Linked DNA regions of Caenorhabditis elegans. The protein of the gene in region 2 purifies or fractionates together with the protein of the main gene of each other region. This does not show direct contact. Each region holds a gene or a part of one and is shown on either strand. Other genes may lie near its edges.

Region 1 (5,241 bases), on a different chromosome or scaffold from region 2:
AAAATTTTTCAGACTATCGAAACAACCAGAGACAACTTTATAATAAACGTGGAAAAAGTTCACGACGACTTTTGTTTCACGCCCTCCGAAATGCTCTTTTTCTTGAAAAATGAAGTGATATTCAGTAAAATTGAAGCGAAAATTTGTCAAAACGTGACGGAAGAGGACGGCGAAGACGATTGTATTTTCGATGGAATGAGCAAACTTGATAACAATTGCAGCGATGTATTAGGGAAAATAACGATAGGCTCTGGAGATGAAGCATATGTTGAAAAACTGAGAAATGTGAAAAATATCTATGGAGGAATAAGGATTGAGAACACGAACTTGACAAACTTGGAGTTTTTGGGGAGTTTGGAATATGTTGCAAGCTTGAATGGTAGGTAGAACATTGAATATATATTTTTTTAAAGGTGGAGTAGCGCCAGTGGGGATTTTGACTAAATGCATTTATAATGATCCAAAACAACCGAATATCATAATAAAACACTCCAAAAAAATTTAGATTTTTCATAATTTCCGATCAAAGTTTTGGCAAATTGCCAAAAATTTTTTAAATACGAGCTTTTGCGGAAATTTAAAGATATGCCGCATTTTTCGACCCCTACAATGTTTTAATACAATCAATTTAAACAAAATTAAAACATAAAAAAATTAGAAAATTTTTTTTTGGTCGACATCCAAAATTATGAGCGACAAAACTGAGTAATTACCACTTTTTGACAATAAATAAAAAAAATTTAAAAATTTTTTGAAAAGTTTTATCATTATATTTGGTCATTTTGGGACTAAAGGAGTGGTTTTTAACAATTTTCCCACTGGCGCTACTCCACCTTTAATAAATTTAACCGCTCATTTTTTAAGTTTGGTTCTTAGTTATTACCCAGTTTTTTAAGTATGAGATTCATGTTTCCAATCCTCCCACGCAGTCACAGCTAATTCAGATTCTGCCGTTCCTTTTCAAATAAGCTCAAACAAGCTTCTACAGAATGCCAGCTTACCCAATTTGAAGGTATTTGCACAATGAAAAACTTCCATTTTTCTCAATTTTAATTTCAGCGAGTATTTTCCACAAGCAGATATCAAATCGGATTTCAAGAGAATGGAAATGATTTTCTCAACTCGACTGCTTGTCTTTTCCTTATGAATCAATTATTTTTGACAAACGTTGTTTTTGATGGAAATGAGTGTGGTAAAGAAGTACTTTGGTACTTTTTAACTAAACAATTCAATTTCAGAAGCCATTGACAGAACCAATCAGAACAATGGTGCCAATTGGATTTTCAGATTGAATTTTTTTATTTTATTGTTATGGGTTTCACTCTAACGTTATTTTCAAAATAATTTGATGTTTTTTTAGTTCAAATAATTCAATTTTGATTTTTTTTATTTTGAAAGTTTTCGTTATTTTTTATTCTGAACACAGCTTTCTTGTTCGGAGAACGTCTAAATTTAGAAATTGAACTAGTTCATTTCCTTGTTTTCCTTTTTTTCGCTTGATTGTTAGCTAAATTTCCCATGTTATTCATTAATCACGGTTGGTTTTGTAGTCGGTGGGCTGCACGAAATTTGCAAATTTGTTAGTGTTCTCATACTGGAAGCATGTTCAGCGGTCTTAAATGGGGAAGACTTTTGATTCATATTCAACAGGTTTCTGCTGCCTTTTCGATTTTAACAAATATATTTTTAATACATCTTATTTTGAACAAGTCGCCGACGCAGATTGGAGCTTACAAGTTTTTAATGTTATACTTCTCTTTTTTCGAGATATTTTACGGAATTGTCGTTGCGTTAACAAGTCCGGTGAGCGCACTATTCAGGTGTTTGAGAAAATTTTTTCCAAATAACATGTCAGCTCAAAAGTATAAGCGACAAAGCTTCAATTTTAACTCCATAAAGGGTATATAGAAATTTTTTTTTTGAAGAGTTGTAATGTTTTGGAGGAGCAAACCCTTCCGGCTCATTTTCGAGATTGTAGTTTTTCTGTAAAATATATATATATATATATATATATATATATACATTTTTTACCGATAGAAAAAACGTTATTTTACTCTATAATATAAATAAAAAGCATTCCGAAAGACTACCAAACCTTAAAATACAAGATCGAAACATCAACACTAAAATCTCAACATTTTAAATTCGCGTCATTTGTTTAATGTTTGAATTCTTATATAGTTGTACTTTAATTTCAAAAATTCAACAGATCATTGTACAAATCGACGTTAAAAAATGGGAAAAATATCACAAATTTCTTGATATATTTTTTGGTTCTTTTACAATCAACAAATTATATTTTAGTTTCACCATACCCAATACGCAACCTATTTGGCAATTATCAGTGCAAAAGATCGTGATTTAAGCCATTTCACACTTAACATATTTAATGCAATGTATTGGGGTTGTTACGGAATGTCTCTCGCTATGTTTGGTGTTCACTTTATATATCGGTACTTGGCAGCCTGCGGGTAAGTATTTTTTAAGTTATCAACTTAATTTTTGTATATGTTCAGAAGTCAGTTAGCAAACTCATTCAACACCTGGAAAATCGTTATCTGGTTCTTGCTTCCTTTAAGTTTTGGAGCAATTTGGTCTTTTGATGGTTACTTTTTTTGCCGGCCAACAGAAGAAGTTACTAACTTCATTAAGTAAATTTCTTCATGATTAAGTTTGAGACGCAATTTTCAATTTTCAGAGACAGCGTTTATGTCACGTTTGGCTTGAAAGAATCAGAGTTTGTTTATCTGGGCCCGAGGATTTTTCAGAAAAACGAAAATGGCATTATACAATTCAATGTAGGACCATCTGCTGGTCTTGGCTTAAATGTAATGACTGTGGTGAGAAAATCAAAATCTTCACAAGAAAACTGCAAAAAGGTTCAGAACATATCGTTTTTAGCAATTTTCTTCTTCGGAATTAAATGCTACTTTTGTATACAGAACATGGTAAAGCAAAGTGCATCTTCGAAAAGTAATGCTCTCCAACGCCAATTGTTCTACGCACTGGTGATTCAAACCCTAATACCAGTGATTTTCATGCAACTTCCCTTCACAATTGTACTAATTCTGTGTATTTTTGATATAAACGATGATGTTATCAGTGGTTTGGCGGTGATGAGTATTGCAGTGTATCCAGCGATTGATCCGCTTCCCAATATTTTCATTATCAAAGACTACCGGAGAGCATTGCTGAGTGAGTTTGATACTTTCTATCATTTTTACACACTGATTTTTTTTAATTTTGAATCCTCTAAAAAATCTGTTCATACCAACTTCATTAACAATTTTTTTTCAAACTTTTGATAGATTGCCGTAAGAGTTGCCCGTAATATGAATATAAATTTTTGAAGATGAGCAATATAAATTTAGAGTTGCCCGTAATTTATAAATTTCTGAAGATAAGCAATTTAAATTTTGAGTTTCCCGTAATTTATAAATTTCTGAAGATGAGCAATTTAAATTTTGAGTTGCCCGTAATTTATAAATTTCTGAAGATGGAAAATTTAAATTTTGAGTTGCCCGTAATTTATAAATTTCTGAAGATGAGCAATTTAAATTTTGATTTTCCCGTAATTTATAAATTTCTGAAAATGAGCAATTTAAATTTTGAGTTGCCCGTAATTTATAAATTTCTGAAGATGAGCAATTTAAATTTTGAGTTTCCCGTAATTTATAAATTTCTGAAGATGAGCAATTTAAATTTTGAGTTTCCCGTAATTTATAAATTTCTGAAGATGAGCAATTTAAATTTTGAGTTGCCCGTAATTTATAAATTTCTGAAGATGAGCAATTTAAATTTTGATTTTCCCGTAATTTATAAATTTCTGAAAATGAGCAATTTAAATTTTGAGTTGCCCGTAATTTATAAATTTCTGAAGATGAGCAATTCAAATTTTGAGTTTCCCGTAATTTATAAATTTCTGAAGATGAGCAATTTAAATTTTGAGTTGCCCGTAATTTATAAATTTCTGAAAATGAGCAAATTAAATTTAGAGTTGCCCGTAATTTATAAATTTCTGAAGATGGGCAATTTAAATTTTGAGTTGCCCGTAATTTATAAATTTCTGAAAATGAGCAATTTAAATTTTGAGTTTCCCGTAATTTATAAATTTCTGAAAATGAGCAAATTAAATTTAGAGTTGCCCGTAATTTATAAATTTCTGAAGATAAGCAATTTAAATTTTGAGTTTCCCGTAATTTATAAATTTCTGAAAATGAGCAATTTAAATTTTGAGTTTCCCGTAATTTATAAATTTCTGAAGATGAGCAATTTAAATTTTGAGTTGCCCGTAATTTATAAATTTCTGAAGATGAGCAATTTAAATTTTGAGTTTCCCGTAATTTATAAATTTCTGAAGATGAGCAATTTAAATTTAGAGTTGCCCGTAATTTATAAATTTCTGAAGATGAGCAATTTAAATTTAGTGTTGCCCGTAATTTATAAATTTCTGAAGATGAGCAATTTAAATTTTTATTTGCCCGTAATTTTTAAATTTCTGAAGATGAGCAATTTAAATTTAGTTGCCCTTATGATTGATTTTCTATGACCGAAAACGTTATTTTCCAAGTTTCAGATTATTTACGCTGGATCAAAAACAGATTCCTATGCAGGAAGCATGTTGTCAGTGACGTCCGAAACGCTTCTTACTACACCGACGGACACACTACTAAAAATGCTCCGAGTGCTCCTAGTCATGTTCCGATAGTTCATATGAATACATGAAATACTTTTTTTAAACCTCTACGCACATAACTTGAATGAATTTATAATGCCTGTTGTCACTTTCAGTTTTTTTTGCCTATAGATCTAATTGTACAGTTGAAGCGGCAAAACCACTCCCATTTTTCAGCTTTGTCTAGACGTGAGCCTCATTTAATGCGAGACCCTCATCTTGGGTAAAGTATTTGGTTAACTTAAAGGTGGAGTACCGAAATCTGGGAAATATTTTCAATTGACTCCAAATTTTCCCTTAATTCCGAATATCTATGTGAAAAAAATTCAAAAAAATTTTCCTGATTTCATACTTGAGCTTCAAATCGCAAATTTCATTTGTGCCCGGTTTCTTTTTTCAAATATAGATATTGTCTAGATAAAATCAAATTATGCAAGTGCGTTCCAATGATAATGCGTTTGGGCGCGCATTTGAAAAATCTCACGGGCACGCAAATGAAATTTGCGATGTCAAGCTCAAATATAAAATCAGGGAAATTTTTTTGAATTTTTTCACAATGATATTCT
Region 2 (7,337 bases):
TCTTCCCCGGAAGCGATGCCCTCTGTGACTTGAAAATTCTTCATCGTCTCGTTGAATCGGTGCAAAACCAGCGGTACAACTGTGTGTGACCATGTCACAGGTTCCAAATTTGCAGTCTGAAGAATCGAAGCATCCTTGAACAGTTGCAGAGAAAATTGCAATCAAGAGAACAATCTGTAAAATAAAGTGAAAAATGGACAGAATAGTTTTAAAAAATCTTACCTGAAGAGATTTTGACCACATCTCTATTGAACAGAAAACGTTGTGTTGCTTTGTTGAAAGATGCTCAAGCCATTTATAGCAGCTGCCTAATTGAATTGAAATGTTTTATGACGATGGGAATGGGAATATTGTAATTTTGCAAAAACCCTGGAAGATGCAACTCTCGAAAATCAAACATGAAAAATCAATGGTCTTAGACACCTTCAAAATTGATACTCGCCAAAATCTACAATTTGAGCTTCCGTATGATTTTCGTATGATTTGATTTATACATTTTTTTGATAAGATATGAAAACGTTTATTAATCACTACCCGAGTAAAGGTAGATTAACATTGAATGGAATTAGACGATTGAAGTTGTTGAAGTTTTGCGACGGTGAGAACTGTGCGAGCTACTTTTTGAGGGTTTCTTTTTGAGATTATGTCCATCTGAGAGCACAATGTGGTCTGTAACAAAAAATTATAATATTTAATTTTCAGATTCAAATTTTTATAGGCTACCTCTGGAACTCCAATTTTTCTGCAATACTGTAGGAATCTATCGACGTTCATTTTGGATCGAGTAGTAGCAATTGACTAAAAATTGGTCCAAATTAGAAGTCACTAATTTTTAGTTAGAAAACGTTACCGAATCTGTTGAAGACGCAAGAGAGATTGATTCCGGATGAAGTTTATTTATGAATTTGCAAAGTTCTTGCCCGTCTGACAACTGCAAGCTGAAACTAATGTCACCCTTATTCAGGGAAAACGTTGGTCCCAGTTTTTCTCTCATCAACTTTCTTGCACTCTCCACGTCATTCGCTATACCAGTTGCAGGAGCGCGAAGTCCTGACTCTGAAAGTAGTTTTTTTGCGTGAATAACTAAGTACGGAAGTGAAAAGAGAAAAGTAGAATAACTTACTATTCAGGTTTGTCACACTTGAAGTGATCGGTTTGCTTGCAATTTTTTGAGCAGCTGGCTCTTCTGATCTACGAGAAATTGCGGATGCAATTTTGGTAGTTTTCACGGGGATTTCCTTTTTGACAGTTGCAGTGTTTGTGGATCTTGTGACAGTTGTACTCTGTATCGGATTGGGGCGACGAACAGTTCCAATTTTCTGAAAATGAATACTCATGAAAAAGGAGCACACTATTTAAAAGCTTACAGTTTGAACGTTCCCATTTGTAGCAATTGGGCGGGGTGTTGGTTTTGGCATAGGTGCCACTTTGGAAATGGGCTTTTTACCTGGAAAAAGCCAGAATAAAGTTGAATAAATAGCTGCCGTCAGTTTGATGGCAGACTGGCTCAACTTTGGAAAACCGTGTTTTGTATTTTATTTTTGAAACTTTGACGGTCTCTTGAAACGATTGTCAACGGACAAACAACTTTTTCTGAATTTTTTGTTGTATATTCAAAACACTTGTTGATATTTGCAAAAAGAGCCAAGTAGATTCTAAAGGTAAAGTAATAACGTGAAACACTAATACAGAAAATATGATACATGTATGCAGTATTCCTGCAAATAAGTGGGCTAGCGGTACTTCTGTAGTATACCTGACCAAAAAATATTTCTAATACATTTTCTAAGAACCTTTTGAAAATAATAAACTAATCGACACCTGGGATTCATTTGCGCCTGAGGCTTAGAAAAAAAAATCCTAAACATATTATGAACAACAAGGGTCACGTGAAATTTTACTGGACTAATTTTAGCAAACCAAAACCTACTTAAAGAAGAAAAAACTAACCCATTCCAGGACTCGACAAGCTGCTGCTGCTTAATTTGGATTTTTCGTTATCATTATTGTTATTATTGTTGTTGTTTTGCTCATCCGGAGTACTCTGCCGTAAATTCTCTTTTCCACCGTTGCTTGTTGGCAAATGAGATGGAACGGACGAAATCTTGTTTTGAACAATCTGTACATTATGGGATTTTGCATGTACGGAGGTGATTGTCCGGGACTCGACTAATTCCTGTAAACCAAAAACTCGAGTTATTCAAAAACTAAAGTGGCACTCGTGTTGGCTATTCTAGCAAGGAAAAATTACAAAACCGCAAATATCTCATGCATATTATCACTGCAGTTAGTCCATGGTTGAGTCAGTTAAAAATCAAACAAGTGGGTATAAATACTGACTAAGGGTGAGTTCCTGAAGAATATTAACACATAAAACAGATGAACAGGTTGTAAGTGGAAAATAAACCTTTCGATGGTTACTCGTCGGGAAGAAGACATTAGACATAGTCATAGAAACGTCGCGAGGACCAGAAAACAAAAGTTGTTGGGAGCGAATATTATAGTTTCGGTTAACAAAATGAAAGAAGCTGATATGCTGTCAACAAAAACACATGCAATAACTTACTTTCGGTCGATGATTAAGATTTCCGTTCACTGGTCGGTGGTCATGTTGAACATGTTTGACTGGTTCAGGAGGGTTACGCGTAGCCCTGCAAGCGATTAGTAAAGGAGTAGAAAATAGAAAAGGTCAGAGGATAGTGAAAATGACCATGGTAAATGAGAAATAGGAAAGGATGATTTGGAAGGTCCGGAAACCAATGTTATATTTACTATGAACAACTTGTAAAATTTTGCGCAAATGCCCAATTTTTGAAAATTATATAGGGAAGTTCGAAGAATTTTAGAAAAAACGGTATTGAATTTTAATTTGCTAAATTTTTGTAATTTCTAAAAAAAGAGTAACTGTTATGCAGTTTTTATTTTTATTTTTGGACAGTTTATTCTTACTTTTCTTCAAATTTAGGAGTAAGAGTGGGAATTTGTCTGAATTTGAAAAAATGCAAGAAGCAAACTTAATGTTTTGATTAAGCCATTTGAACGCAAATGAGTAGAAAATGAACAGTGAATAATTTTTGGGGAAATTATTAAGGCTAAATTAAATAAGTACCCGTTCTCTTAGATTATTTGCAGTCAAAATTGTAGAAATTCATTGCCATGAATGTTTGTTATTTTTTGTGTTCATTAAACCTTCACCCATACTCGTCAGAATTAATTATCCACCACCCGCAAAACCCATTACTCCTCTTCAAGCAGTGGCTAATTGAGATGTCAACCCGTTTCCACTACCCACTTCCCCGAATAATTACCTCGATTCGTTATGCGGTGGATGTTTTTCGGCGACAATTGTCGTCGATGCTGTCGTTGTGCGCTTTCGATCCAATAGAACATCATTTGAGCCATTTGATGTAGTTGAGCAAGCAGATGTTCTACCATCGAGCCACTTGAATATGTGCACGATGCCCTGAATATTGCCCATGTTAATTGAACCGCATAAATTCATGTTCACACAAAATGTGCGGTTTTTATCGCTTTTCGTTTCAGTTCAAAGGAGACACTTACCATTTCAATAATATCCATGGATGGGCTTCTTAATGGATTGCATTCTAGTTGCAGGTAACGGAGATCAGTCATTTTGACAAAGTCAGCCGGCAAGTATGATAAATTGTTATGCGAGAGATCCAAAGTGCGCAATTTCAGCGAAGAACACAATTCCGCTGGAAAATCCTCGACACGGTTTCTGGAGATTTTCAGAACTTCCAACGATGTCAGGTATCTCAGTTGTGATTGTAGACTTCGTATGTCGTTTTTAGAAAAGTCCTGGAATTTTAATTTTTAGACAGTTTGATTTAGTGAATTTTTAGTGGTTTTTTTACCAAATGTGCAAGCGTTGGAGCCAGACGTCGAATGCCTTCTGGGATGCATGTTATCTTATTGTTTGCAAGAATTAGAGCTTTGAGTGGAAGATCAAACAAACCATCCGGAAGATGAGAAATGTCATTGGAGCTGGAAGAAGTTGTGGAATTTAGTTTTGTAACTATTGTTTCTACCTAAAATCAATAAAAGTAAGTTGTTCGAGGGAGCATATACACGTAGGAATTGTTCGAAAACGGTTCGAGCTGGCAATGCATGAGATCAGGCAGTCGAAAGCTGAAAAGTCAGCTGGCAGTGTGGACATTCGGTTGTCGTGGAGGTCTGAAATACGTTGAAAATAAATATGAATAATGGGAATGGCATTCGTGCGAGGCTCGAGAAATAGGAATTTGCAAATACCTAAGCCCATTTTGGGCTCAACGGTAAAATTATCTGTTGGGAAGTTGGGCTCGGATGTGTCTGGAAAAGATCAACTTTTTGAATCATAAAAATTAATGTAGAAATATAGAAAATTATTTTCTTTATTAAAATTGAAAAGTTTGAAAAATATTTCAGTGAGCCGAAAAAATTTGTATGTCTTTTTTTTATCAGAAAATAACAATTTCTGGCACAATTTTCAAATATTTTATAAACATGTCAGCACAATTAAAAATTATTTTCGAATAAATAAAATATTTTTCTCTATTACTACAGCAATTTTCTTTTTGAATTTGCACTGACAATTTTTTAGCACTGACAATTTTTAGCACTGACAATTTTTAGCACTGACAATTTTTCGCACTGACAATTTTTTGCACTGACAATTTTTTGCACTGACAAATTTTTGCACTGACAAGTTATTGCACTGACAATTATTAATTGTTGTAGGGACGTGACAATGTCAGTGAAAAAGTCAAAATTTTAAAAATTAATTAAGATTTTTCAGTCATTTTATTCAAATTTTATCTACGAGATTAGCTCCTTTGGTCACTCAAATAAACCCGCTCTGAATAAATCTCACCAAGAAATACAGTGTCCAGAAGCGCAATATTCGAGAAAGCTTCAATCGGAAACTCAGAAAGCCTCAAGCCGTGAAGTAGGAGACGTCCCGAGTATTCAGCTTCCTTGAAACGTCCTCCAAGTGTCGATGTGTATGATGTTGTCTGAAAATGTTGGTTATAAGTCCCTTTATTTCATAAAAGTTACATAGTCGAGAAAAAATGCGTTTGGGAATCAGAATGATAGATAACACTTGCTTTGCTGCACTTTTTTCTCATCATTCATTTTGAAACAGGGGATTCCCTTTTTTCGCTCAGTCCTGGTATTTACTCCCGATATATGTTCAGTTATTTTTACATTTTTACACCCAACCTTGAAGCGAAAAACTGCGGAAAAACAAATTTGTGGTTGGATTTATGACTGGTCGTTTCCCAGCTTGTCACTAGTACAATATTACACTTGTTGAGAGAATGTGTCCACCACCGGCTAACAAGTGTTAGGAGAAAAAAGCAGATAAATAATTAGGCGCATTTTTTAGTGAAAAGAATTGACTAAACGTTTTCTCTATTTAGAAACATAAACATTTTCGAGACTCGGGAATGGAATGAAATAAATAATTGAAATAGGTCAATTAGAGACTCACTTGTCCAAAATGGATAGATCCCGTTGATGTAGTGGAGCGGCTTACAGACGGTTCAGACGAATCATGGTCCGATGTGGAGCGATGTTTGGAAACTGCCATTGCCTGATCGCTCGCATCGCTCTTTTTCTTTCGCTTACCCGTCCACGAAAATGTTAGCATTACCTGAAAAATCAATACATCTTGAAATAGTACAAAATTATTTGCATTCTAATCGGAAAACACTTTTGAAAAAAAAAACTGAAAATTCAAAAATTCAGAAAGCAGTGCCGCTTTGAGTGTTAGGTGGAACCATCAAAAACATGGGAAAAAAGACAACGGAAACAAGTCCTAGAACGGATATAAGAAAATGGCAGGTGTCGTTGACAATTGGAAAACCCATAAAGCATTTCAGCCTATAAATGGAGATGAAAATGCTCATGAAACCGAGGAGCACAAAAAAAAAATGAAAATCGAGCTCGATGTCGAGATCACAAAAGGATTAGGCCAACGAACATGAGGATTGACGGATTATGAGAGAAGAAGAGAGAAAGTGCGAAAAGAGGGAAAAATGATTGGATTTTATAAACAATTTAGTTTGCACTTGAATGTGCGAAGATAGTGAATGTAGCTAGAAAATAGAAGAATAAAAATCTAGATATTTGATATACTTTAGAACAGTTTGAGAAAAGTAAGAAAAAAAGCTTGCAAAATCAAAAGACCCCTATAATTTGAACGTCAGGAAGGCAGGAAGTGAGAAATGTGAAAAAGAAATCCTAATGGAAAATTTGAAATCGCCACTGGTATAGTACTCTTAAATACAAATAAAATCAAATACTGAGCCCAGCCCTGTTGCTGAAACAAAAGACGTGAAAGACGACTAAACTCACTAGTCAGCTTCAGAGTACATTAAAATATTGAAAAATATATATAGCAATACTTGTAGAAGTTCTCAAAATGTAAGTTGTTTTACATCAAAACTTTCATTTTTTGCAACATTTAGGCAAGATGTGTAAACTTTTAACAAATCTCCTAAAGAGACTCACTATAATTTGGTAAATGAAAAATAGAAACTGATAACATAAAAAAAGTGATTTCATATTCAAATTGAGAATGCGCGGGAAGGTTCTATGTGGAATGGTAACATAGAGAGTGATTGGCGACGAGGGCGAATGGACATCGACGAGTGAGAGCCAGTCATTTCTCTATTTCTCTCAGTATTCACCTCCCACTTGCCCCAAAACTCATTTGTCACAAAAATGGCACTGTTACCCGGCGGACAGAACCGAGAGAAAGCGCGTGGTCGGCGGAAAGTAAATGAACCAATTGAAGTAGACTCATTACAGTATCCAATAAAATGGTATGCTCACAAAACACTAACGATTAAAATCACAAACGATTAAAATTGAAAATGTCAGATTTGAAAAGGTGATTGAAGTCGGTGTGCTGAATCGTCTAGCAATCTGCCACCAAATTGATGGCTTAGCACTATATCTGACAGGTCATCATCATCTTCATCTTTCATCAGTTCAAAATGCACATCTTTTCCAATGTATTAACACAACCAAAAACTACTGAAATGTGACACTGGCGGGGTGCTCCACACAGCTTATTCGGTGGGAGAAGAGGAGGAGAGAAGAGGTCCCAACGAAAAAAAGAAAGTTTTCTGGGCCTTTTGCCCGCGCGGTGACGGAAGAAGCCAAGAGGAAGAGCGCGCGGCAAAAGGATGCGAAACATTTGAAATTAGATAATGGACTTTGTGTAAGACAAGCAAAGTGGTCAAGTTTGCAGAAATGTTGTGGTTCCAGTACGAAAACGCGGAATGAAGAGATAAAAATATAATCTTGGTAGAGGAAAGTATGAGAAT

What was found. The genes of interacting proteins can lie anywhere in the genome.
Region 1: the proteins of lrch-1 (region 2) and str-222 fractionate together in Caenorhabditis elegans (co-fractionation; one large-scale study listed by BioGRID). This does not show direct contact.

Annotation. Positions count from the first base shown.
Region 1 is NC_003283.11:1,634,557-1,639,797, forward strand, and holds str-222 (Serpentine receptor class r-10), read left to right. Parts: upstream 1-1,602; coding exon 1,603-1,803; intron 1,804-2,304; coding exon 2,305-2,471; intron 2,472-2,516; coding exon 2,517-2,651; intron 2,652-2,698; coding exon 2,699-2,840; intron 2,841-2,885; coding exon 2,886-3,195; intron 3,196-4,576; coding exon 4,577-4,725; downstream 4,726-5,241. Other genes in the region: irld-17 (Receptor L-domain domain-containing protein), read left to right, coding at 13-379, 945-1,012, 1,060-1,192, 1,239-1,327.
Region 2 is NC_003284.9:6,208,256-6,215,592, forward strand, and holds lrch-1 (Calponin-homology (CH) domain-containing protein), read right to left. Parts: upstream 5,657-7,337; 5' UTR 5,594-5,656; coding exon 5,495-5,593; intron 5,016-5,494; coding exon 4,874-5,015; intron 4,195-4,873; coding exon 4,050-4,194; intron 4,006-4,049; coding exon 3,876-4,005; intron 3,820-3,875; coding exon 3,562-3,819; exon of another isoform or gene 3,500-3,561; intron 3,464-3,499; coding exon 3,309-3,463; intron 2,995-3,308; exon of another isoform or gene 2,873-2,994; intron 2,652-2,872; coding exon 2,567-2,651; intron 2,177-2,566; coding exon 1,951-2,176; intron 1,448-1,950; coding exon 1,368-1,447; intron 1,320-1,367; coding exon 1,124-1,319; intron 1,057-1,123; coding exon 851-1,056; intron 799-850; coding exon 724-798; intron 670-723; coding exon 550-669; 3' UTR 506-549; downstream 1-505. Other genes in the region: C14F11.7 (EB domain-containing protein), read right to left, coding at 1-174, 223-243.